3 linked regions of the Ovis aries genome follow. The protein of the gene in region 2 purifies or fractionates together with the protein of the main gene of each other region. This does not show direct contact. Links are inferred from orthologs where the notes say so. Each region holds a gene or a part of one and is shown on either strand. Other genes may lie near its edges. The genes, in order: KDM8, RCCD1 and SPAG9.

The links.
Region 1: the proteins of RCCD1 (region 2) and KDM8 purify together in Homo sapiens (co-immunoprecipitation; 3 studies listed by BioGRID and IntAct, counting the BioPlex papers as one, with this or other methods). This does not show direct contact. The link is inferred for Ovis aries from reciprocal best matches to the Homo sapiens genes RCCD1 and KDM8.
Region 3: the proteins of RCCD1 (region 2) and SPAG9 purify together in Homo sapiens (affinity purification with mass spectrometry; 3 studies listed by BioGRID and IntAct, counting the BioPlex papers as one, with this or other methods). This does not show direct contact. The link is inferred for Ovis aries from reciprocal best matches to the Homo sapiens genes RCCD1 and SPAG9.

What each region holds. Positions count from the first base shown.
Region 1 is NC_056077.1:25,310,788-25,317,456, reverse strand, and holds part of KDM8 (bifunctional peptidase and arginyl-hydroxylase JMJD5), read right to left. Parts: intron 4,777-6,669; coding exon 4,732-4,776; intron 1,472-4,731; coding exon 1,322-1,471; intron 530-1,321; coding exon 437-529; intron 362-436; coding exon 197-361; 3' UTR 1-196. UniProt on the Homo sapiens protein: Bifunctional enzyme that acts both as an endopeptidase and 2-oxoglutarate-dependent monooxygenase.
Region 2 is NC_056071.1:21,017,497-21,024,478, forward strand, and holds the end of RCCD1 (RCC1 domain-containing protein 1), read right to left. Parts: 5' UTR 6,941-6,982; coding exon 6,766-6,940; intron 6,683-6,765; coding exon 6,298-6,682; intron 6,118-6,297; coding exon 5,996-6,117; intron 3,547-5,995; coding exon 3,448-3,546; intron 2,782-3,447; coding exon 2,611-2,781; intron 1,980-2,610; coding exon 1,950-1,979; intron 1,435-1,949; coding exon 1,283-1,434; 3' UTR 384-1,282; downstream 1-383. UniProt on the Homo sapiens protein: Plays a role in transcriptional repression of satellite repeats, possibly by regulating H3K36 methylation levels in centromeric regions together with KDM8.
Region 3 is NC_056064.1:35,516,305-35,523,995, forward strand, and holds part of SPAG9 (C-Jun-amino-terminal kinase-interacting protein 4), read left to right. Parts: intron 1-319; coding exon 320-538; intron 539-803; coding exon 804-999; intron 1,000-2,298; coding exon 2,299-2,424; intron 2,425-3,617; coding exon 3,618-3,698; intron 3,699-4,364; coding exon 4,365-4,432; intron 4,433-6,456; coding exon 6,457-6,605; intron 6,606-7,601; coding exon 7,602-7,691. UniProt on the Homo sapiens protein: The JNK-interacting protein (JIP) group of scaffold proteins selectively mediates JNK signaling by aggregating specific components of the MAPK cascade to form a functional JNK signaling module.

The sequences.
Region 1 (6,669 bases), on a different chromosome or scaffold from region 2:
CATGTGGGTTGAGGACCTGGACTGTCCTCCTGGGGGCCTGCCTGCCTGCCTCCGCCACCCACAGCAGCCGGGCCACCCCTGGGCCTACGTGTCTCTGACGAAGGTGTCCTCAGGCAGTTGGTCCCTGGGCCGGGCACAGTGTGAAGGATGTGTGTGACCATGAGCACGTTCTGTGTGCCCGGCCCCCTGCTCTCAGCTACGACCACCAGAAGCTGACGGAGAAGCTCAGGTCCAGGGCCCTCACGTAATGCCAATGCTTCGCTGGGATGAAGAGGACCTCGCCCGGGGACAGGACGCAGGACAAGAAGGGGGCCTCAGCAAACCTGGGGAACTTCTCCAGGTCGGGATTCTCCACGTCAACCTGAGAAAGTGAAGGGAGTTACCTGTCTGGTCTCAAGAGACAGGGTGGGGGTCCCACCGGGGCCCCCAGGCCCACCTGGCTCGTGTTGTGAAGAAGGTGTGTGTCGTGGGGGTACAGCGCCTCCGACTCCTGCGGGGAGTACAACCGGATGTACTTCCTGCCCATCACCTGCAAGGAAGAGACCCTTCCATGAGCAGGTGCCCGCTGTCCCCGCGCACGCCCTCCCTGCCAGCCTGCCCCACTCCCAGCAGACGCGTTAGGTCGAGTGCATTTGCTGCTGTCCCAAACCATCAGAAGGCACTTGGCTGTGGCCACTGCTGTTGAAGTGCTTTGTGTGTGTTGGCTAATCCTCGCCATGACCCTCCAAGGTGGTTTATCATCCCCCCCAACAATGCAGGCACAGAGAGGCTGAGCTGCCCACGTTCACAAAGCTGAGAGGGGACAGCTGTGTTCACGCCAGGTGGTCGGGCTTCCAGCCTCTCTGTCGCATCCCGGGCGGGGAATGGGCCCTGGACTGGAAGGACACTCTGGCTTGTCAAACCTCTCTGCCTATGATGGAAGGTTTTATAACAGATGTCCCCGCTCCCTGCCACGCCCCTTCCCTTATAACACACGCAGGCTCCCCTGTCTGTGTCCCAGGAAAACCACCCACTGGCTGAGCAGCTTCCTTGTATTTGACCTGGCTCTGATGGATGGCAGGGGGGCGGCAGCCGTTGGGGCACTTGCCCCATGCTGAGATGGCACCCGGCCCTGTTCTGCCTGTGTGAGGCATCCAATGGGATCCCAGACGATACAGGAGTCTGGAAGCAGCCCCTCCCCTCCCTGAGGCCCGGTACTGAGTCTCTGGTTTCACTTTGGTCCATGCCCCTGTCTGTGGTTCATCTCCTTGGTGTTTAAACATGGATAATGTGTGGCTGGGCCAGAAGGAAGGGGAAGGCCAAGGTTCTGAGCGGCTCCAACCTGGGCTAGGAAGTTCTGCTGGGGATCCTGGTGGAGTGGGGAGACGGTGCCTTGTGGGCCGAACCAGGCATTGATGGTGATCTCCTCTTCCTCCCCGTCGCCCAGGCAGCAGTAATCGGGGATGCTGATGTCCTGCTTCAGCTCGGGGATCTGACAGAGCATATGAGGCGGGTTAAGGCCAGGCCTGTGCAACTCAGCAGCCTAGATGTCAACTGACTCTTAAGCAGAAGGCCAATACTGTCTTCTTGTGTAATATGACGCTAGCCACATTTTACTGCATAGGAATTTTAAATCAATTTTTAAAAGTAAATATATAATTACTAGGGAAGGGTTATAATTTTCAGATTTCTTTCCATGTCACATGCATTTTATCTTTATTTCCTTTTTTAAAAAACCTGACAACCCTACTTTGTCTTAAAAATAAACCAGCTTACCATTTTCTAAATCTATCACAACATTTTAGAAAGTCAAAGAAAAAAGATGAGACTAAGTATTTATTTATCAAATCTCTGGAGAGGAAGGTTTTTCCAAAATTTACTGATGGTAAAGCAATCACAATCAGTACATTTAAGGTAAATGAAAATAAGTATATTAATATAAAATAAGTGTATTCCAATAAAATGGAAAATATCTGAACTGTGGTAAATGAAGGTTAATGTAGAGCATTCATATAAAATAATAAGGATCCCAATATGTATAAGTTACACAAATAAGCAAAGGACAAAAATCAGATCATACATAAAAAGGCTTTCAGTCCCATCAGCAAAGAAATCCAAATTAAAAACTGTCATCATTTCCTACTAATCAAATTAGCAAAGACTGAAAAAGTGATAACACCCAGTGGTGCTGAGGATGTGGTAATGTGGGCAGCCCCATGCCAGGCTGCTGGTGGCATCAAGTGGTCATATGTGGAAGTCTTAAAGCTGTGCAGACCTTGACCCAGTTGGAAGTGAGCCTGTGCTGTGCCTTTGTGTGGAGGTGTCCTGGGGTGGGGGTGTCCTCCAGGAGGAGTGAAGTTGGGACTCCGGGGCAGGTGGGGGGCAGGCAGACAAGGTTGCACGAGGAGGTAGGTGGGCTCACCTGCCCCAGCATCATCAGTGAACATCTCTAATGAGATGATTCTCCCTCAGCTTATGGTGGGGTTGCATCCCAATAAGCCCATGGTAGTTTGAAAATATCAGAAGCTGAAAACAGAACATCATAGCTGAGCCTAGCCTGGCTTAAACGTGCTCAGAACACTTTCATTAGCCTACAGCTGGGCAAAAGCATCAAACACAAAGTCTATTTTATAATGGAGTGTTGACAGATATCACCCAATTTATTGGATCCCGTACTGAAAGTGAAAACCAGAATGTTATCCAGGTCCAGAGTGGCTGAAGTGTATCCAGTGCTTACTGGTGTGACTGTGTGATGGACTGCATTGAGGGACCGGGAGACTCAGCCCAGCATCACATAGTATGGTAAACATACCACTAAGTCCAGGAAAAGAGCACGGTTCAAAATCCAAACTACAGTTTCTACTGAATGCCTATCGCTTTGGTATGACCATAAAGTGGAATCATCATCATTTGGGGACTGTCTGTACTTTAAAACAGCAAGTACCCTCGTGCAGCCCTCTCATGTCTTCCTATCCCCCACACCCACCCTACTTTCCGACCAGACAGCATGCAGCTGGGGCTCCACGGCCAGGGCTGGCGCGGAATCCATCGCCCAGAGGGAGGGGCCGGAGCTGCCTCTACAGGTCTGGTCAGGAAGTGGTTTCAGCCAGTGTGAGTGGTTTCCTCTGAGACTCTGGTTCTTTCCAAACAAGGCCAATCTACCGTAGCCCTGCCGAACCCCAACTGACAAGACTGCCTGCCATACTGGCAAGTGCTCCGGGACTCTGGGAAATTAAACACAGAATCAAGTTTGGTCCCCCAGATGCTGCAAAGGGGACCCACTCTGCTAGTTTAATCAGGGATCTTCAGAGCGAGCTCTCCAGGCCTGAAGGGACGTCTGCAGGCGACTGGCCATTCCTTTAGCGCACACACCGCTAGGGAAGGCTGGAATGCTCTCCCTGCCGGGAGCTGGGGCTGTTTTGCTCGTAAAAAAGCTGCTGTGTCCACTGCTTTGGGTTGACGCAGAAGTTCATGACCTGAGGTGCCTTGTCCTGTGGGTGAGGGGGGTCCTCAAGCTACATGTAGGATCCCCAAGGCCTCTGAGAAGCACCTGCTTCTCCCCCGCCAGGCTCATCGTCACACCACACAGTTTCTGGCTGGGATTACACCAGACCCTGGCCCTGTGGGATGCTGGGAAGCTGACTGGTTCCTGATGACACCATCAGGATTCCTGAGAGGTGATTGGTTGGCCAGATGATGTAACTGGGGGCACGGGCCAAGGATTCAGAGACCGTAAGAGGAGAAACTGTCCCAGGTGGGGCTGAGACTTGAAGGCAGGCCTAGCACAAAATATTCTGAAACATGGGGTCACTGGGAGGAAAGTCAGTAAGAGGTTTTGGGGCAAAAGGTTTTGGGTGGGAGACCTTGAGCTTGGTGGAGAAGGCCCCAGAAGCCGTGCAGAAGCCAGCCAGACATCCCTTCTGTGCTGCATGGCGGCCCCAGGGCTCTGGTTGCTCAGACTGTCCCCATGGTAGTTGGAACAACAGAGGAGAAAACACACCTCTGGGGGCCTAAGACAAAAACGGCTTCAACGCCTTTGTCCATCTTAAAAACAATCATGTTTTTGCCTTCTCCCCAATGTGCTTCCTCGTATTCTAGTCAAATGGCAACTAGCTGCTCCAGGACAGGGAGCCAAGCTGAGGGCTGAGCCCTGGTACGACTGAGGCCAGGGGATGGGACAGGCCAGTCTCTTGAGATCACACAGCAGAGGCCTGATCAACTCAAATCCCCCTTTTCCTCATTTAGCAAGAGAGGATGGGGAAAGGACCCATGAGTCCTCACATGGGGAGGCCTAGGCAGGAGACCATAGCTCTCCTGGCCCCATCGCCGCCTCCCCGCTGTAACTTTGGACCTGCAGCTCCCAGAGGCTGGCAGAGTCCCAACTGGGGCTAGGGGTCAAGATCAGCATGAACTCACTTGTTCTGGGTCAGGTTGGAGCCTGCCACCCTCACCTGGCTCCCAGAACCAGTTCTGGGAGTTCTGACCACATTTGGGTTTCCCATTCCATCCCCTGGGGGCCACCCGGAGGTGGCCTCCTCTTCCCTCAACCCAGTCCCGGGGCCTGGCCTGCCCCCTGCTGCCTGCTGGTGAGAAGGGCATCAGGTGAGTGTGCCTCCCTACTCAGAGCAGGAGGCAGAACCAGGAGGAGGCAACTGAGGTTACTACCCCTTTCCTGCCCCCTGGGGCTAGTGCCCCAGAGGGAGGTGGGAGAAGGTGAGAGGGTGAAGGATGGAGGGGCGTGGTCTGACTCACCTGGTCAAAGAGCTGGTGCTGAGCAAGGTACCCGATGTCCTTCGGCTGCTCCACGGGAGAAAAACCAGAAGGGACACAGGAAGCCCTGTTAGTTGTGACAGAGAGGTCCCTGGAGCTGCCAGTTCAGCTGGCTCTCAGCATCCTGCCCATGGCAACCACCCAAGGGCCCTCCTCTTCATCCCCCTTGGACCCCCTCCTCTTGAGCCCAGGGCCAATGTCATCCCTTGCCAGCCAGCAGGAATGGGCTGATGGGGGCACTCAGGGTCTGGTACTGCCTGTGCTAAAGAGGTGGGCCTGAGTAAGTCACCCGGAGCCCCGGGGCTCACTTTCCATGAAATGTGAAGGGGCTGCGCACACATAAAGATTTTTTAAAATAAAAATGGAATCATACAATATGCATTACTTTGAAGTCTGCTTTTCAATTTAATGATACATCGTGACTATCTCTTCCAGTCGATACATGCATATGTGACTCATTCTTTTGATGGATGCATGTTTTAGAGATAATGCATCATTATCCATTCAACCGTCCCCCAGCTGGTAGACATTCACGTGGTTCTACCATGGTGTTTCAGTAAGCAGCTGAATGCACGCGAGTGTGCGTGCTGAGTCGCTTCAGTCATGTCCGACTCTTTGCGACCCCATGGGCTGTAGCCTGCCAGGCTCCTCTGTCCATGGGATTCTTGAGGCAAGAATACTGGAGTGGGATGCCATGCCCTTCTCCAGGGGATCTTCCCAACCCACGTCCTTTATGTCTCCTGCATTGACAGGCGGTTCTTTACCACTAGTGCCACCTGGGAAGCCCAAACAGCCGAATGCTCTGGTCCTTCTGTTTATATGCCTCCAAAAGTAGAACAGTGCGGTCAAGGAGCACATGCATTACACACATTTTAGATCTTAACAGCTTCTGCCAGGTTGTTTTCCCAACACTACATCATTTATGTCCTCACCAGCCGTTAATGGGAGCGCCCACTTTCCCACATCTCTGACCACACAGGAGATGATCATTTTGTGAAAAATTCTGCCAAGCAGAAGAAAGAAAAGATCAGTGCTTTTCAGACCGGGCTCCTGGATGCTGAGGGATTCTCTGAGTATGCCTGAAGGCTTCTGCAAGGGTCAGATGGGGGCAGGTTAGATACAACGCTGGGCACCCCTGACCCCAACAGCAGCCAGAGCGGCCAACAGGTATCAGGAAGAGGAAGACACCAAGGTCCTCCCTGTTAAGAAATGACAAAATGGAAGACAATCTGGCAGTTCCTCAAAAGGTTACACACAGCGTGGCCACCTGCTCCAGCAATCCCTCTCTGCATATAGACCTAAAAGTGGAATCACATGTCCACACAAAAATGTTCATAGCATTTCTCATACTAGCTGAAAAGTGGACACAACCCAAATGGCCATCCACTGAGGAATGGATAAACAAGACGTGGGCTATCCGTCAAAGGGATACTATTTGGCCATAAACAGGTACGTGCTGTGACAGAGATGATCCTTGAAAACATTATGCTAAATGAAGGAAGCCAGACACAGAAGGTCACATATTGTGTGATTCCAACTATGTGAAATATCCAGAAGTGGCAAATCCACAGAAACAGAAAGCAGATTCATGGCTGCCCGGGGATAGGTGGGGAGGAGATACAGGAAGTGACTACTCATGAGTGTGGGGTTTTTTAGGGTGATGAGAATGTTCTGGAATTACAAATCGGTGATGGTTGCACCATCTTGTAAATATACCAAAAAGCACTGAATTGCAACCCAAAAATAAATAATTAAAACCCTCCAAAAAACAAAAGGACCTGAAATGGGGACCCATACATCCTGCCTTCCTTGCACTGGCCAGCCTACTGACCACAGGCCCTTCAAGTATGGTTTCTTGACTCCTCCAAAACCTCCCCTGGTGACATATGGAAGTCATTCTGCCCACACATGTAATGTGTT
Region 2 (6,982 bases):
AGTCAAGATCACAAAGAGACACAAAAGGTATAACGATAGTTGTCAGGGGTTGGGGAGAACGAGGAGTTATTTAATAGCTGTAGAGTTTCAGACTTAAAAGATGAGGAGAGATGGGACTGGATGGTGTTGATGGCTGAACAGCAGTGTGAGTGTATTCAGTACCACTGAACTGTACACTTAAAAATGGTTAAGATAATACATTTTTTGTTATGTGTGTTTTAACTCAGTAAGAAAAAGGAAATTAGTATCAACAAGAGAATATATAAACGAGGTATAATTCATGTAATGGAGTGAAAGTGAATGAGCTGTAGGGTACCACAGGTGAATCTTACAGTGCTGATGAAAAAAGACACAAAAGAACATACCCAGGATGACCATTCACCTAAAGTTCAAAAGCAGACAAATTTTACTGTATAAAGAGGCATACATGGAATGGTAAGATTCAAAGTGAAAACAGTTCAAATGAATAACAAAAGATGACCTCTAGCGGTTCCGAGTCTTAGCACTACCTCAAAAATCACCTGGGATGGGGCAGCTTGGTAAGAATACTGGGGCATGTTGCCATCCCTTCTCAAGGGAATCTTCCTGACCCAGGGAGGGATTCAACCCAGGTCTCCTGCATTGCAGGCAGATTCTTTACTGTCTTAGCCACTAGGGAAGCCCTTTAAAAATCTACCCACGTCTATGTTCTACACCCTCAAGTTCACGATTTCATCATGTCTATGATGCCGGCCCTGGCTCAGCTGGTAAAGAATCTGCCTGCAATGCAGGAGACCTGGGTTCAATCCCTGGGTTGGGACGATCCCCTGGAGAAGGGAAAGGCTACCCACTCCAGTATTCCGGCCTAGAGAGTTCCATGGACTGTATAGTCCATGGGGTCCAAAGAGTCCGACATGACTGAGCGACTTTCACTTTCTCTTTAAGATGCGTCTCTAGGCATCCAGTTACAAATCTCCTGGTGTTTCTCTTTTTCTCTGGGAGTGTGGGGCACACAAACCCTGCAGCCTGTGGAATCTTAGTTCCCCGACCAGGGATTGAATCTGCTCCCTCAGCAGTGAAAACGCAGAGTCCTATCCACTGGACCACCAGGGAGTTCCCTCCAGGTGTTTCTAATGAGGGGAAAAAGTTGAAGATGCTGCCTGCTCTAAGGTGGAGCAAGAGGGCTGTGACTGGGAGAGGCCTCTGGGTGCTGGCAGTGGTTTTCCTTGCCCTGTGGGGAGTTTCACAGGTGTTGGCTGTATAATTTTCCACTCTACTGTTCTTTTATGCCCTTATCCATAGGTTAGCTCTTCTCTTTCTCCACAGCATACACATAGGTGTTCCAGGGCCCACAGCTCACAGTTCTTACTTGGAGTTGCTTATCTACAAAGTACTCCACACGGCAGGGCCGGTCCAAAGTAGTTGTGTCCTTGTGGCCGAGCTGTCCATATTTACCTAAAGTGAAATGAGCCCCTTTGCCATCCTCTGCTGGGCCCTGTGGCTTCTCCCCTCCAGGAAGGAAAATCAGCCCATTGACCGAAGCGCTGGGCTTAGGCCACCACTCCGCTGCTGTCTGCTCCGTGAGTTCAGACCAGCAGCATAGAGCCAGGCAAATCCTCCAGGCTCCCCACTCCTAAAGCTCAGATGCCCAGAGATTTTCATTCTACCTTTTTCTCTTCCCAGGGCCAGACCACAAGAGGTCACAGAGATGCTGGCGAGATATTCCCTTGGGATACATACTTTTTCAGGAAGGTAGATGGGAAATACTGATACTTCCTGTTTCTCTGAGCTCTGCCCCTCTGAGTGTGCCTAGATCTGTTCCAGAGAAGGGAACAGATGGCTTTTCAGTCCAGTGGTCGTGCTGAGACCCCTGTTTCCGCTTCTCTTCACAGCTGTTGTCACTTGCCCGCTACCCGCAGGTCTTTTCCTCCCCTTAGTTTAAGCATCACAAAAGCAAACCCTTTACTTACCCCAGCCCCAGGTGTAGAGCTCCCCCGTTCCTGCAACCGAAAGGACAGTAAAGGGGCTGTTGCCATGCTCTGACAGGGCATGAGTCCAGCTCAGCCTGCCACAACCCACAGCCAGCGCACTGTGGCCGTTGTGCGATTTGTTTGGCAGAGCAACACATATTCTCTCTCCTTTTTTAACAATCGTTACATGTCAGGAAGATCCCTTGGAGAAGGGCATGGCAACCCACTCCTCTGTCCAGAAAATCCCATGGGCAGAGGAGCCTGGCAGGCTACAGAGCGTCAAAGAGAGTCGCAAAGAGTCGGACACAGCTGAAGCGACTTAGCACACAGCATGCACACAGGCTAGTCACGTTCGGGGTGGTAAAGGATCCGGACTGAACAAGTTCACCTTGCTATACACCCAACGGCTATGACTCACAGCCAAATCTGGAGTCTCAGGAGCAGGGTTGGGCAGACCCTCATCCGATGCAAGGCTGGCAAACACTAGCCTCCCCCCAGAACCTTCGGGGCCTGACAGGCTGGGTAGCCTCTGTGAAAGACCCCAGGGAGTGAGGCTGCTAGTCTTTTAAGGGACCACACCCTTTCCTGCAGCCGCCAGCTAGACAGTGTGCAGAGGGGGCTTCCTGCGCCATCCTGAACCAGCCTATCTGGCCCCACTCACTTGTCAGCACTGCCGTGTGCCGGGATCCGCAGCTGACCTTGACTGCCTCTGAGCCCGGGCTGAGATCCAGTAAAGCTGGGAACGGCTGGACCGCTATGAAGGGGGCAGGGGCTCCATCCTCACCCGCAGAGACTCTCTTCACTTCGGAACCATCTTCATCCAGTCCTGAGGCTTCAGAGAAGCAGTAAGAGTTATGATGATAATGATGGTGAACACTCACTGAGACCTGATCTACACCTCGATCATAAAAAATAATAAACCTCATTTATACACACAATAGCTGAAGCCCCTACTCTAGCTCCAAAGCTGTCGCTTGCAACCCCGAATTCCCTGGGAAGTGCTGGAGCTGACAGGCTTGTGGGGTGTGCCGCAAGGACACTGGCATCAGCCTTGCCGTGCTCCCTCTCATAAGGGGTTCAGAGTCCTTCAGTGTGTCCTGGGGTCCCAAGGATATCGCATACCGCTTCTGAGCCCTGTAGCTCTCAAGCCAGCCTATGGCCAGGAGGCAGGAATAACAGAAATGTGTGGAAATCAACAACTGACTCTCACCAACAGACTTGTGGTTGCCGAGGAGGAGGGGGTAGGGGAGGGATGGATTGGGAGTTTGGAGTTAGCAGATACAAGCTATTATATATAGAATGGAAAATACAATAAGGTCCTAATCTGTAGCACAGGGAACTATATTCAATATCCTGTGATAAACTGTAATGGAAAAATATAAAAAAGAATGTATGTGTAGGTATAACTGAATCACGTGGCCATACAGCACAAGGTAACGCAACAGTGCAAATCAATTGCACTTCAATAAAATAAATTTTTAACAAAATCGACCCTCACCTTCTCCTGCAGTTGTCTTTCCATCTTCTGCCAGGCTCTTAGTGGGTAGGGCCAGCTGCCCTGATTCATTCCAGCCCCAGATATAAATATCTCCTGTCTCTGAGGCAGAGAGAATAGGGTCCCATTAAACAGACTCAGATCACCCCTGGATCTATCCACACTCCCTGTACGAGTGTGGCTCCTGACAGACAACGCTTGCCTGCCCCACCCAAGTCAGCCTTCCAGATTAAGTACCTCCCTCAGGGCCCAGCAGCTTCCTTGTCTCAGCAGGACCTTTCTTTCCTCCTTAAGTGCATTCAGTCACCCTATTTTTTTTTTTTTTTGGTCACCCTATTCTTAAAGGACACCTCTTATTAGGCTTTCCTCTCCAGGGTCACTTTTCCCCTTTGTTGTTAACTCCCAGCTCCCACCTCCAACATGCAATTTGGAAATGAGTCCCTGGAAGTTCCCTAGTATCTTTCTTTCACATTCACTGAGCCCAGGCTCCTTTCTTCAGCCCTACCCATCACTGGTCCTGTAGACCTTTTTTAAAAAATGTGTTTGTTTTTTAAATTGACACAGCATTGATTTAATTGACACAGCATGAAACTTTTGTGTAAGTTTCATGTATACAACATTGCGTGTATTTTGACATTGCGTGTAAGTTTCATGTACACATTTTGCGTGTATGTACTACAGTTCGCTTATCACCAAAAGGTCAGTTTCCATCTGTCGCCATACAGTTGACCCATTACACCCTCTCCCATCCCCGAAGGCCTCTAGAAGCTCTCAACATTGCTTGCCTCCTCCCACAACACTATATAGTTTGTTGGCTGGAGCAAGAGCCTTAATGCTAAAAATTCACTAACAGTAGTAGCTGGTTTTATCAAGTGTTTAATCCGTGCCAGTGTTTTAAGCACCATATATCCACTCTACTCCAGAGAAACTTGAGCGGTGAGGTGTCCTGCCCAAGATCACGAGCGGCAGACTGATGCTGATGTGAACCTGGGAGGTCTAGTTTGAAGCAGCAGTGCTCCAACCACATGACACTGAGGCCTCAAACTCTTTTTGGACCTTAGTGTGAGACTTTCCATTGCGCTCTCTTTCTGGTCCTCTCGTCTCCTTCCTCCTGCCCAGCAGTTCTCAAGCCTGGCTGCCAACCCAGGCCCATTAGAATAGGGAGGGGAGAGTGCAGGCCTAAGTTATTTTTAAAGATCCCGAGTGAAACCATGCCCCACGGAGTTAACAGAAGGTGATAACTAAGGAGAAATTCTTGAACTTTCCTTGGAGAACAGATGAGGAACACACTATTAAAACTCCTTTGCTTACTGTAAAGTGCCTTCATTAAGTTCACTTTGGTTATTTTTCTTTCTATTTTTCCCTTAATTGCATACAGTTTCATATAACCCAGCTGTTTCACAGGAACTTGGAGTTAGCAAAAGCCAGCTGGAGACTAGATGGGACCACTGACCCCAAAACTGGGTCTGTGCACGTGGCCAGTGAGTGGCGCTCTGATATCAGAAGGCTCGAAAACTCCACCCTCAGATCATGCTAATTGCCTCTTTTGTACCCCCCACCCCCACCCCACCCCCGCTGCTGCCTGCGTGCCTTGTGGGATCTTAGTTCCCTGATCAGGGATTGAACCCAGCAGTGAAAGCTCCGTGTCCTAACCACTGGACTGCCAGGGAAGTCCCAAAGCGCCTCCACTTTGAAATCTACAGAACCATGTTGACTCAGGTATGCCTGCTCATAACACTGATTACCTCACCTTCTTCCCTACCTCCAATCACCTTTCTCCATGCCTAAGACCACCTGGCTTATGCCATAAATAACCCAAACCCTTCAAGGTGGCAGATTGGGGGCTTATTCTCCTATCTCCTCACTTGGCTGCCTTGTGAATAAACTCACTCTTGGCTATCAACCTTGGTGTCTCAGTGTTCGGCTGGCTGCACAACCCGACCTGGTCAGTAACAATATTAAGTAGTGACCAGAGCCCCTGATGCAGATCCTTGCAAAAATCATTTACCACCAGCCCCACCCGACAGCCTAGCTATCAGCTGCACCTGGATCTCCTGCCAGAGGGGTGAACACAATCTCAAGGGACACTCATTCCCATCCTGGATGACCAGCCACGGCACCAACAGAGCTCACAATGACCACCATCCTCCTCCAGGTGGGCCTCCCAGTGTCCACCCTGTGCCACGCATTACAGCCACCTGGGCAGCTGCTACCTTTCTTCTCTGTCCTCCTTGACTGCCCCTCACCCCTCCATTCTCCCTTGGGGACCAAAATGATAGCCCTGGATGGAGGCAGATGGATGGGAGGGGTAGTGAGACCAGAAGACGGGAAACAACTGCCAACAGTCCCGATTGTGAGGGTGGTGATGAAGGGGCGGCGGGGCAGGCGCTGAATCTGAGGCATTTGGGAGTCAGGAATGACTGGGCTGATGGATGCAGGATTAGCTTGGAAGGAGGCCTGGCTAGGCCACCCATCAGATGGGGAGAGGAGGAGGAAGGTTTGGCGCCTGCAAGATCCTGAGCTGGTTTTGGAAAAGCCCTAGGTCACTCACCACTCAGGCACACAGAATGCCAGCCACCTGCGGCGACTTCAGCCATGCGTAGGCCCTGCAGCGCCTCCAACAGCCTGGGCTCTGGCTCTGGCTCCAGGGTCCCGTGGCCCAGCTGTCCATGCCTGAGGAAAGGAGGTCCCAATCAGCTACAGTCACACCAAGAGGTCTCCTCCGTCCTTGCCCAATCACTCCCTCCAGCCACCTGTATGCTGACCTCCCACTCCGAGGTCACATTTACCGACCCGTAAACCGCGGCATCCCAGCAAAAGCCCAGCGGGCCCACCTGGCCAAGTCCCACTCACCTGCCCGAGCCCCAGGAGAACACCTGGCCCGCGGCGTCCAGCAACAACGCGTGCTCGGCGCCCAGCTCCAGCCGACGCGCCCGCAGCGTGGGGGCCAGAGGCCGGTAGAAGGACGGCCGCGGGCTCACGTAGGCGCGAGCGCAGGGCAGCAGCGGCAGCAGCCCCGCCTGGGTCTCATCACGGTTGGGTCCGTGTTCTGCCTCCTGCACGGCGTGAGACCAGAGGGGCTCCCCGCGCAGCGCCGAACCGGGCGCCCAGGCCTGCAGTTCCGCCCCGGCTCCCGGCCCCGCGCGCAGCAGCACCAGGAGCTCCTCCGACGCGCACGCGTCCGTGTATCCGTCCGCCGCGCCGCCCGCCGCGCCAGACAGCTGCACCCGGCCTCCACCTGCCGGGGGCGGAGAGCGGGCTGGGGACGGAGGGGGCGGCGCGTGCGCCGGGGGCCGGGGCGGGGACGGAGGGGGCGCTCACGGGTCACGAAGGCTGTGTAGCTCCAGCTCGCGCTCACGCGGCAGACGTCGACGCTGCCGCCCGGCATCCTCACCGGCTCGGGGCTGTGTACCTGGCGCCCGAGCCCCGAGCCCAGCGCTTGCCCGAAGCCGCAGAAACCGAAGCCGAACCAGGTCCCGCGACGCTCCTCGTCCATGCCCCGCAGCGTCTTTGGCTGGCTGCGACCTGGCTGGAGCGG
Region 3 (7,691 bases), on a different chromosome or scaffold from region 2:
TCTCATTAGTTGGCTGCTTTAAGAACTCATATTAAGAACAGAAACACATTTCTGACATTTTTTTGGTTTACTTGTGCTTGCATTAGTTATTATTTATTATTGTTGCATTTATTTTCTTAATTTTTTAAACTACTTTCTCAATTTGTGAATTGAGTTTAAATTAGTTTAAATAAAATTTATTTACCATCTTGGCAGTGTATTTGCTTAGATATTTGTCTCACCTTTACTCTTATTTCAAACCTATAGTTGCTTTAATAGAGAAAATGCTACTTATAGAAGTTTACTGAGCTATTTAAAGAAAGTTTATCTTGTACTTCAGGAGCCCGAGAAACAGACTACCCTGCAGGAGAAGAGCTTTCAGAATCCGGACAAGTAGACAAAGCATCTTTATGTGGAAGCATGACAAGCAATAGCTCAGCAGAGACAGATAGCCTGTTGGGAGGCATCACAGTAGTTGGTTGTTCTGCAGAAGGTATAACAGCAGCTGCCACTTCCCCTAATACCAATGAAACTTCTCCAGTGATGGAAAAACCGCCGGGTATGTTTGTCTTCCCTAGACACCATCTGTATAGTTTCTGAGCCTGTCCCAGGTGACTCAGTATGGACTTAAGTTAGATTTTAAAGTAACAGGGATGAAAGAGCTTGAAAGAGGATGCTGTGATGATTGTTAAATGAAATCAAGAATCCTCAATTTTATTATATGGAGAAGAGGGTAAGAGTGGAATTCTGTAGAGGGGTTTTGGTAAGTGATTGGAAGAAAAGCTCAAACTTGGAATGGTTAGCATGCTTTATTTATTTTTTAGAAAAGGAGACAGAAAATAGTGAGATTGATGAAAATGTTCCAACAGCAGAAGAAGCAACTGAAGCTACAGAAGGCAATGCAGGATCAGCTGAAGATACTGTGGATGTCTCCCAGACTGGCGTGTACACAGAGCATGTGTTTACAGATCCTTTGGGGGTTCAAATCCCAGAAGACCTCTCACCAGTGTATCAGTCAAGGTATAAAAATGCGTAAACACCTGAGGAAACCAGAGTGCACATGTAAAGGAACCAAAATGATCTCAAGCAGCCAAAATATTCCTACTAACTGACATTGTTGTGGCGGATTTAGATGTTATTACTTATTCCCACTATGTCTTCATCTGTTACATTGCAGAAGAAAAATCTAGACATATTTTTCCCCTATTTGCTCTCTATTCCTTACAACTTAAAAAAATCTTGCTTATAAAGTATATTGGTCAAAATCCTTACCAGTCAGTGTGGATTAAAATAATGAGTTATTAACAGAATAGAATACAGTGAGTACAATTTTTTTTTAAAGCCATACCAAATATCTATGGATTTTTTAAAAATTGTACTGTCTTCTATTCTATTAATAACTCATTATTTTAATTCCCACTCCTACACCCACTCTATCCACAGAACTGCCCATTTAAATTTCCCATGTGGGTTTTAATGACCTTTTGAATTTAGATTTCTGGCAAGTATTTTATTAGAAAACAATTTGTTTCAGACTTTTCCTTCAAAAGAAAGAGTTGTTTAATTTCCTTTCTTGCCTTCTCTAGACCTTATAGAAAGGTGATAGGGGTATAAAGTCATCTTTTTAAACTTACTGATTCATTTGTCTGTTTTGAATTTGATAGCCCAGTTATGCTTTTTTTTTAAACTAACTGTCCTCTGACAGTCCAAAGAAATAAAGTTTGGGGATAGAATAAAAGCATGTTTCAGTTTATTTATTTTAGAACATTGTTTATAATTAACCCTCCTGTGATGTCTGTGTGTGTGTGTGTGTGTGTGTGTGTGTGTGTGTGTGTGTGTGTGTAGGTATGTATGTGTAGTTTTAAAACAAACCATCTCTCCTCCTTCTATCCGCACAGAAGAAACTCATAAAATTCAAGATAACTATAAGAGAGAATTAACTTTAGTCTGGATATTAACTGCTATATTTCGTTACTGTGTCTTATTTCCCTTTTCTGTGCCTTGAACCTCCTAGTATGTCAGTGTTACTTCTGGTACAATTGCTGCAATATATATATTTATATACCTTTCACTCCTTTCTATTCTCCCTCCCGTCCGCCTCCCATTGCCTTGCCTTGCCTAGCTGCCTGTCTGCCTGCCTGCCTTCCCTCCACCCTCCCTCCCTCCCTTTCTCACTGTCTCTGAAATGTTTAATATAATCATCTAACTTTGGCTTTACTGGAATTTATTTTTTTAACAGTACACTAAAATGTAAAAATTATCAATTCCTGAAAACTGTAGCTAAACACAATAAGATTTTTTTTTCCTTTTTTCCCACAGTAATGACTCAGATGCATATAAAGATCAAATATCAGTATTGCCAAATGAACAAGACCTGGTGAGAGAGGAAGCCCAGAAGATGAGTAGCCTTTTACCAACTATGTGGCTTGGAGCTCAAAATGGGTGGTAGGTATCAAATCTTTTTAATATTAGAAATCTTAAGTCTTTCAATTTTGCTTTAGAAATCTTAAGATAATTAAAATGTGCTACGTACAAATACAAACAAAAAGTGCCTATTAAAGTGAAGAATTTTATATACACACAATTTTGAAGTTATATTGCAACTACCTCATAACTTGGACTTGGACTTGCATTGGTTCTGAGTGGTGAACCGTATGTTTGTCATAGGATGTTTCCTTCATATAATATTCTTGGGAAAAAAGTTAAGTAAACTTAAAAATCTGGGTGATCTAAAAATAAGAGATCCTGTTGTTCAGGAAATAAAAGGGATTAAAAAAATCTCGGGCTGCAGAAAGGCCTAATTTTAAACATAACTTCTGGGAAAACAAGGACAAATCACAGTCTAAAAGCTTAGGAGTTGATAAACACTATAGGACTTTTCCACTTTGTAGTAGTGTGAAGAGTCTTACAAACTTGTGCTTTTCCTAAGGTTAAACGAAATCACTAGTGGATCTTTCCCATAAAGGACTAATACTACAAAATGAAGGTTTGACGTACGTTTCTCTATGAAGGGTCAGACAAGAAATATATCAGGTTTTGTTGCCTTATGATCTTTGTAGCAACTTATTAACTATGCTGTTGAGGTGCAAAAGCAGCCACTGCATTGACAATACCTAAGTGAACTGGTGTGGATATGTTCTAATAATAATAAAACTTATGAACACTGAATTTCATATAAGTCTTGTATGTCATGAAATACTCTCCTTTTGGTTTTTTTTTTTCCCAACCATTTAAAAAATATAAAGACCATTTTTAGCTTGAGACTGTACTAAGACAGGTAGATGGCTGGATTTGGCCTATGGGCCTTAGTTTGCCGCTCCCTGATGTAAACCGCTCTATTATCAGAAATTTATAGCTCAGTAAGAAGACTATTTTTTTAAAAGATTGATAGCCAAGGATTCTGAAGTATGTGGTAATCTGAAACCAACCATGCGTTAGTTCTGGCTTTTCCTTCTTTTTATGTTTCTGTTTGCTTAAGCAGCTTATTTCTCTGCCTTAGGCCTATCCTTTCCTTGTTTTGTCCTGAAATTTTTATGTTACTCTTCTTTTCTTTTGAAGAAACTTTGTGTCATTATTAGATATAAGCAACTACTTGATGTGTTCTCTATGCCTTACCAGTCTTGATTTTGTTCTTGCAGTTTGTATGTCCATTCATCTGTAGCCCAGTGGAGGAAATGTCTCCATTCTATTAAACTTAAAGATTCGATTCTCAGTATTGTGTAAGTTTTATTTTAGAAATTCTTCCTTTGAAAAATATGTATTTTGGTATAAACTAGATTCTAAGACTATTAAAGTTAACATGTACTTCATGACTAAATCAGTATCCATGTCTTTTTTAACCCTCTTTATGAATGAGATTAAAACTAGAAAATAAACCAAGTAATTTTAAGTAGAAGAGAAAGCTTTCTAGGTTGATTCCTCACTGTTCTGAGAGTTCTTTAGCCTGTTGGTGAGAAAACCAATTAAAACCCGTGATATTTGTTTCAGAATATTCTTTACACTTTGTGAATATGCTGATTGGGTGATTGATTTACCAGTCCTTTTCTGTATGTTGACTGTGAAAAGTCAGTTTGTCTCTTAGATCCACAGAGCTGACTCTTTCTACTCAAGGTGTGTGCCTCTGGTCTGTGGACCTTTTGTCTGCAATGAGAGGAGGTTAGAAAGTGAAACAGCTGAGTCACCACACATGCTTCCTATTGAGTCCAGCTGACATTTTCATAACGAGACTTTTCTCAATGAAGAAAAGAATCTGTTCCTTTAGATTCTCCTGTAAGCTCCTCACATCACAGATTGGTCTTCTGAGAACCTCTGAACTAGTTCAGCAGCGTGTGGTGTCTTCTGCACTCCCAAATGGAGAGTTCTAAGACCCCCTTTCCTGTTTGCAGACATGTGAAAGGAATTGTGTTGGTGGCCCTGGCTGACGGCACCCTTGCAATCTTTCACAGAGGAGTTGGTGAGTTTCATGAATATGTAACATGTGTGCTGATTCGTTGCTTTGCAAGAGCATGTTCAAACATATTGACCTCATATGTTTTAAAGAAATGATATTTCATAGAAGAAAGAATAAAGATTTAAACTGAATACTAACCATGTATGAAATGAGTAAATATGTGAGTGCCTGACTGGAGGCATACATTAATCATACACCTCAGTGAAAATTTGTTTACCATACTGAGCAAATAGTCCTTATGGTCCTCTTAAATAATGTGCAATGGAAGTATTTATTTGTTTTATTTGTTTTCTAATCATAGGCCTAATTTAGTGAGAGTACATGGTTTCTTTTGTCCAGTATTTTAAAAGTAATTTGCATTCACTTACATTTGGAATGTTCTTGAAAAGAATTTTTAATTAGCTAAAGTTTAATCATTTTCTTGTCATGTTTTTTATATTCTTCCCCTTTAAAGTAGTGTTTCTACCATCTGCAGACAGAAGGTGTCAGAAAACTGCGCTGAGTGAATTTAAGAAATTGAGTATATAATTCCTTGGTACATGTATAGTCCAAAAGTGATATTTCCTTCCTACTAGATTGGTAGATCAGGGAAATATAAAAATATAGATCCGATATGAGACTTTGGAAAAGCCTTGCAAAAATTAATTTTTTATTTTATTAATTAATTTTTGCAAGGCTTTTCCAAAGTCTCATATCTTTTTGCAGCCTCAAGAAATGTGAGGTAGATGATACTTAGGTGCCTAGAGATTTTTGGTTAATGACTCCATAATGAAAAGAGAGGCCTCTGTTTTACATTGTTCAGGGCCTTTATAGACGGTATCTGAGTTTAATCCGCACAGCAACTTATGAAGAAAATTCTATTGTCATCCTCATTTTGTAGCTGAGGAAACTGAGGCACAGTAGTTACTTGTTCCTGGTCACTCGACTAGTGAGTAGGAGAACCTAGAAAAATGGAATAATAAATGTTTTGGTAGACTGAATTGAAAACTGAGCAAGACAGAATACATTAAATAAGGATAAATGTAAAGTCCTGCATTTGGGTTCCAAAGAGTAGATGGAGATTTGTGTGAAGAGTGACAGTTACTTAAAGGGTGACATTAAACTCAGTACAAGTTAGTTAACATGCTAAACCTCATAGAAATTAGTGTCTAGAGCAGGGCTGGTGATCCTGCTCCACTCTGGTAGAAAGATAGCATGAAATGGATCTAGACAAAATGGAGTTGGGATGAAAGTTCCATAAACAAATGTGTCCAAAACACGAAGACAGGGCAGTAGCAATGAAGTGAGACTTACTCTGTGAGGTTTATTCTGTGTTTCCATTAGGCATAACTATAGATGAAAGAGTGATTATGTACAAGAAGGCAGACTTTAGCTGAGTATGGGGAATATTTTAAGATAATTACAGTTTTCTTAAAATGAAACAGCTGCTTTGTGAGGAATTATGTTTTCCTTCACTGAAATTATCAAGCAAAGCAAGCTTACAGTGGTTGGTTCTCATTTGTAATGAATTTCTTGTCATCACTAAAGTTATGCATAATTCCTAAAGCCTTAGCAGTGAGTTGCCCTTGACTTCTATCTAAGAAGATACACCAAAAATGCAAGTGAGCCAGAGCGATATTATGCCCCAAATAACCTTAAATTCATTATAATACCTAAAATACTTTTGTAAACAGGTAACTTAAAAATAACTAATCACATCACCTCTGTTGAGAGCAAGGGGGTCCAGGTAATGGGTGGCAGGTTGGACCATATGATCTTTGAGATCTCATCCAACTCTGTTTGATTTATATCTGATTTACAGATTTAATTTATAGATTAATGTCTGTAATATATACACTGTATGTATATATATCTGTAATATATACAGCTTGCCTGGGATTAATATCTGTAAATATACACTGAAATACATGATATTTGGTGATACTTCATTAATAAATTTAATTACACACCCAAATAAAATATTTTTTGAGTTAAAATTGAGTAAAAGATGGTATACATAAACTAATAATCTACTCCTTATTTTAAAGATGGACAGTGGGATTTGTCAAACTATCACCTGTTAGATCTTGGACGACCTCACCATTCCATCCGATGCATGACTGTGGTACATGACAAAGTTTGGTGTGGCTATAGGAACAAAATTTATGTGGTTCAGCCAAAGGCCATGAAAATAGAGGCAAGTTAACCCATGTTTTCTGTACTTACTGAATTTATATTACCTGAAATCCCTAAGATTCAATTATTTTCAGCTTTTTTAGAAATTGTTTTCTGAATCTGTGTATTTTGAGGTACTTCAGTGATATACTGGATGAATTCTCAGCTTTCTATGATACTTTATCTCTCTTGCTGCTTTTGACTATGAGTATGGGAAGTGATTTTTTTTTAAAGGAAGGAAGATTCACACATGAATGTCTAAATGTATGTCTGAGTATCTGTAGACCCATACGTGTACTGCTTGAATACGTGGTTCTTGAAATGTTTAGTCATGTAGAGGTGGTTTGGGAGAAGAACTCTCAAGTCTCCCCCACTACTCAGTGTGTATTCAGGCAAATCCATATGTATGTCACAGACTGAGGAATCATATTGCAGTGGGAATTCGTTGTAAAAATAAAAACCTCTTAGCATTGTTGTCTTTAAAAAGTTTTGCCACAATATATAAATTTATTCTAATTGTTTAAAGAAAGAAAAATAGTAGGAAATTTTTAAGGTGGAAGTTCTCCATTTGTCCCAAATCCTGTTTACAAACCTAGAAGTTCCATTTGGTGTTTATTTTTTAGATATATTCTTTACATGCAGGTATATGCTTACATATATAGCACAGTAGGTTCATTTTTGTTTAACTGTAAATAGGATCTTATTTGGGGTCTTGCTCTGGAGCAGTGCAAAATCCTGAGGTCCAATTCCATCTTTTTGTTGAATGCTGTTACATAGAATGAATGTGTCAAGATTGCTTTCATAAGTTGATAGTCTACACAACATCCTTTAGCTCTTTTTTTTTTTTTTTTTTTTTTTTGCAGTATGGGATAATAGCAGTTGTGTATATAAGAGTAAACAATACTTAGGCTCCTCTTTTATTAGGTGGTCTGTCAGATTATTGTGCAAATTAGCACAGTTTTTAAGCACTAACTCCTAGATAACTAAAGTAACATTGTGATTGAACAATCTGTTCTAGAAATCATTTGATGCACACCCCAGGAAGGAGAGCCAAGTGCGGCAGCTTGCCTGGGTGGGTGATGGCGTGTGGGTCTCCATCCGTTTGGAT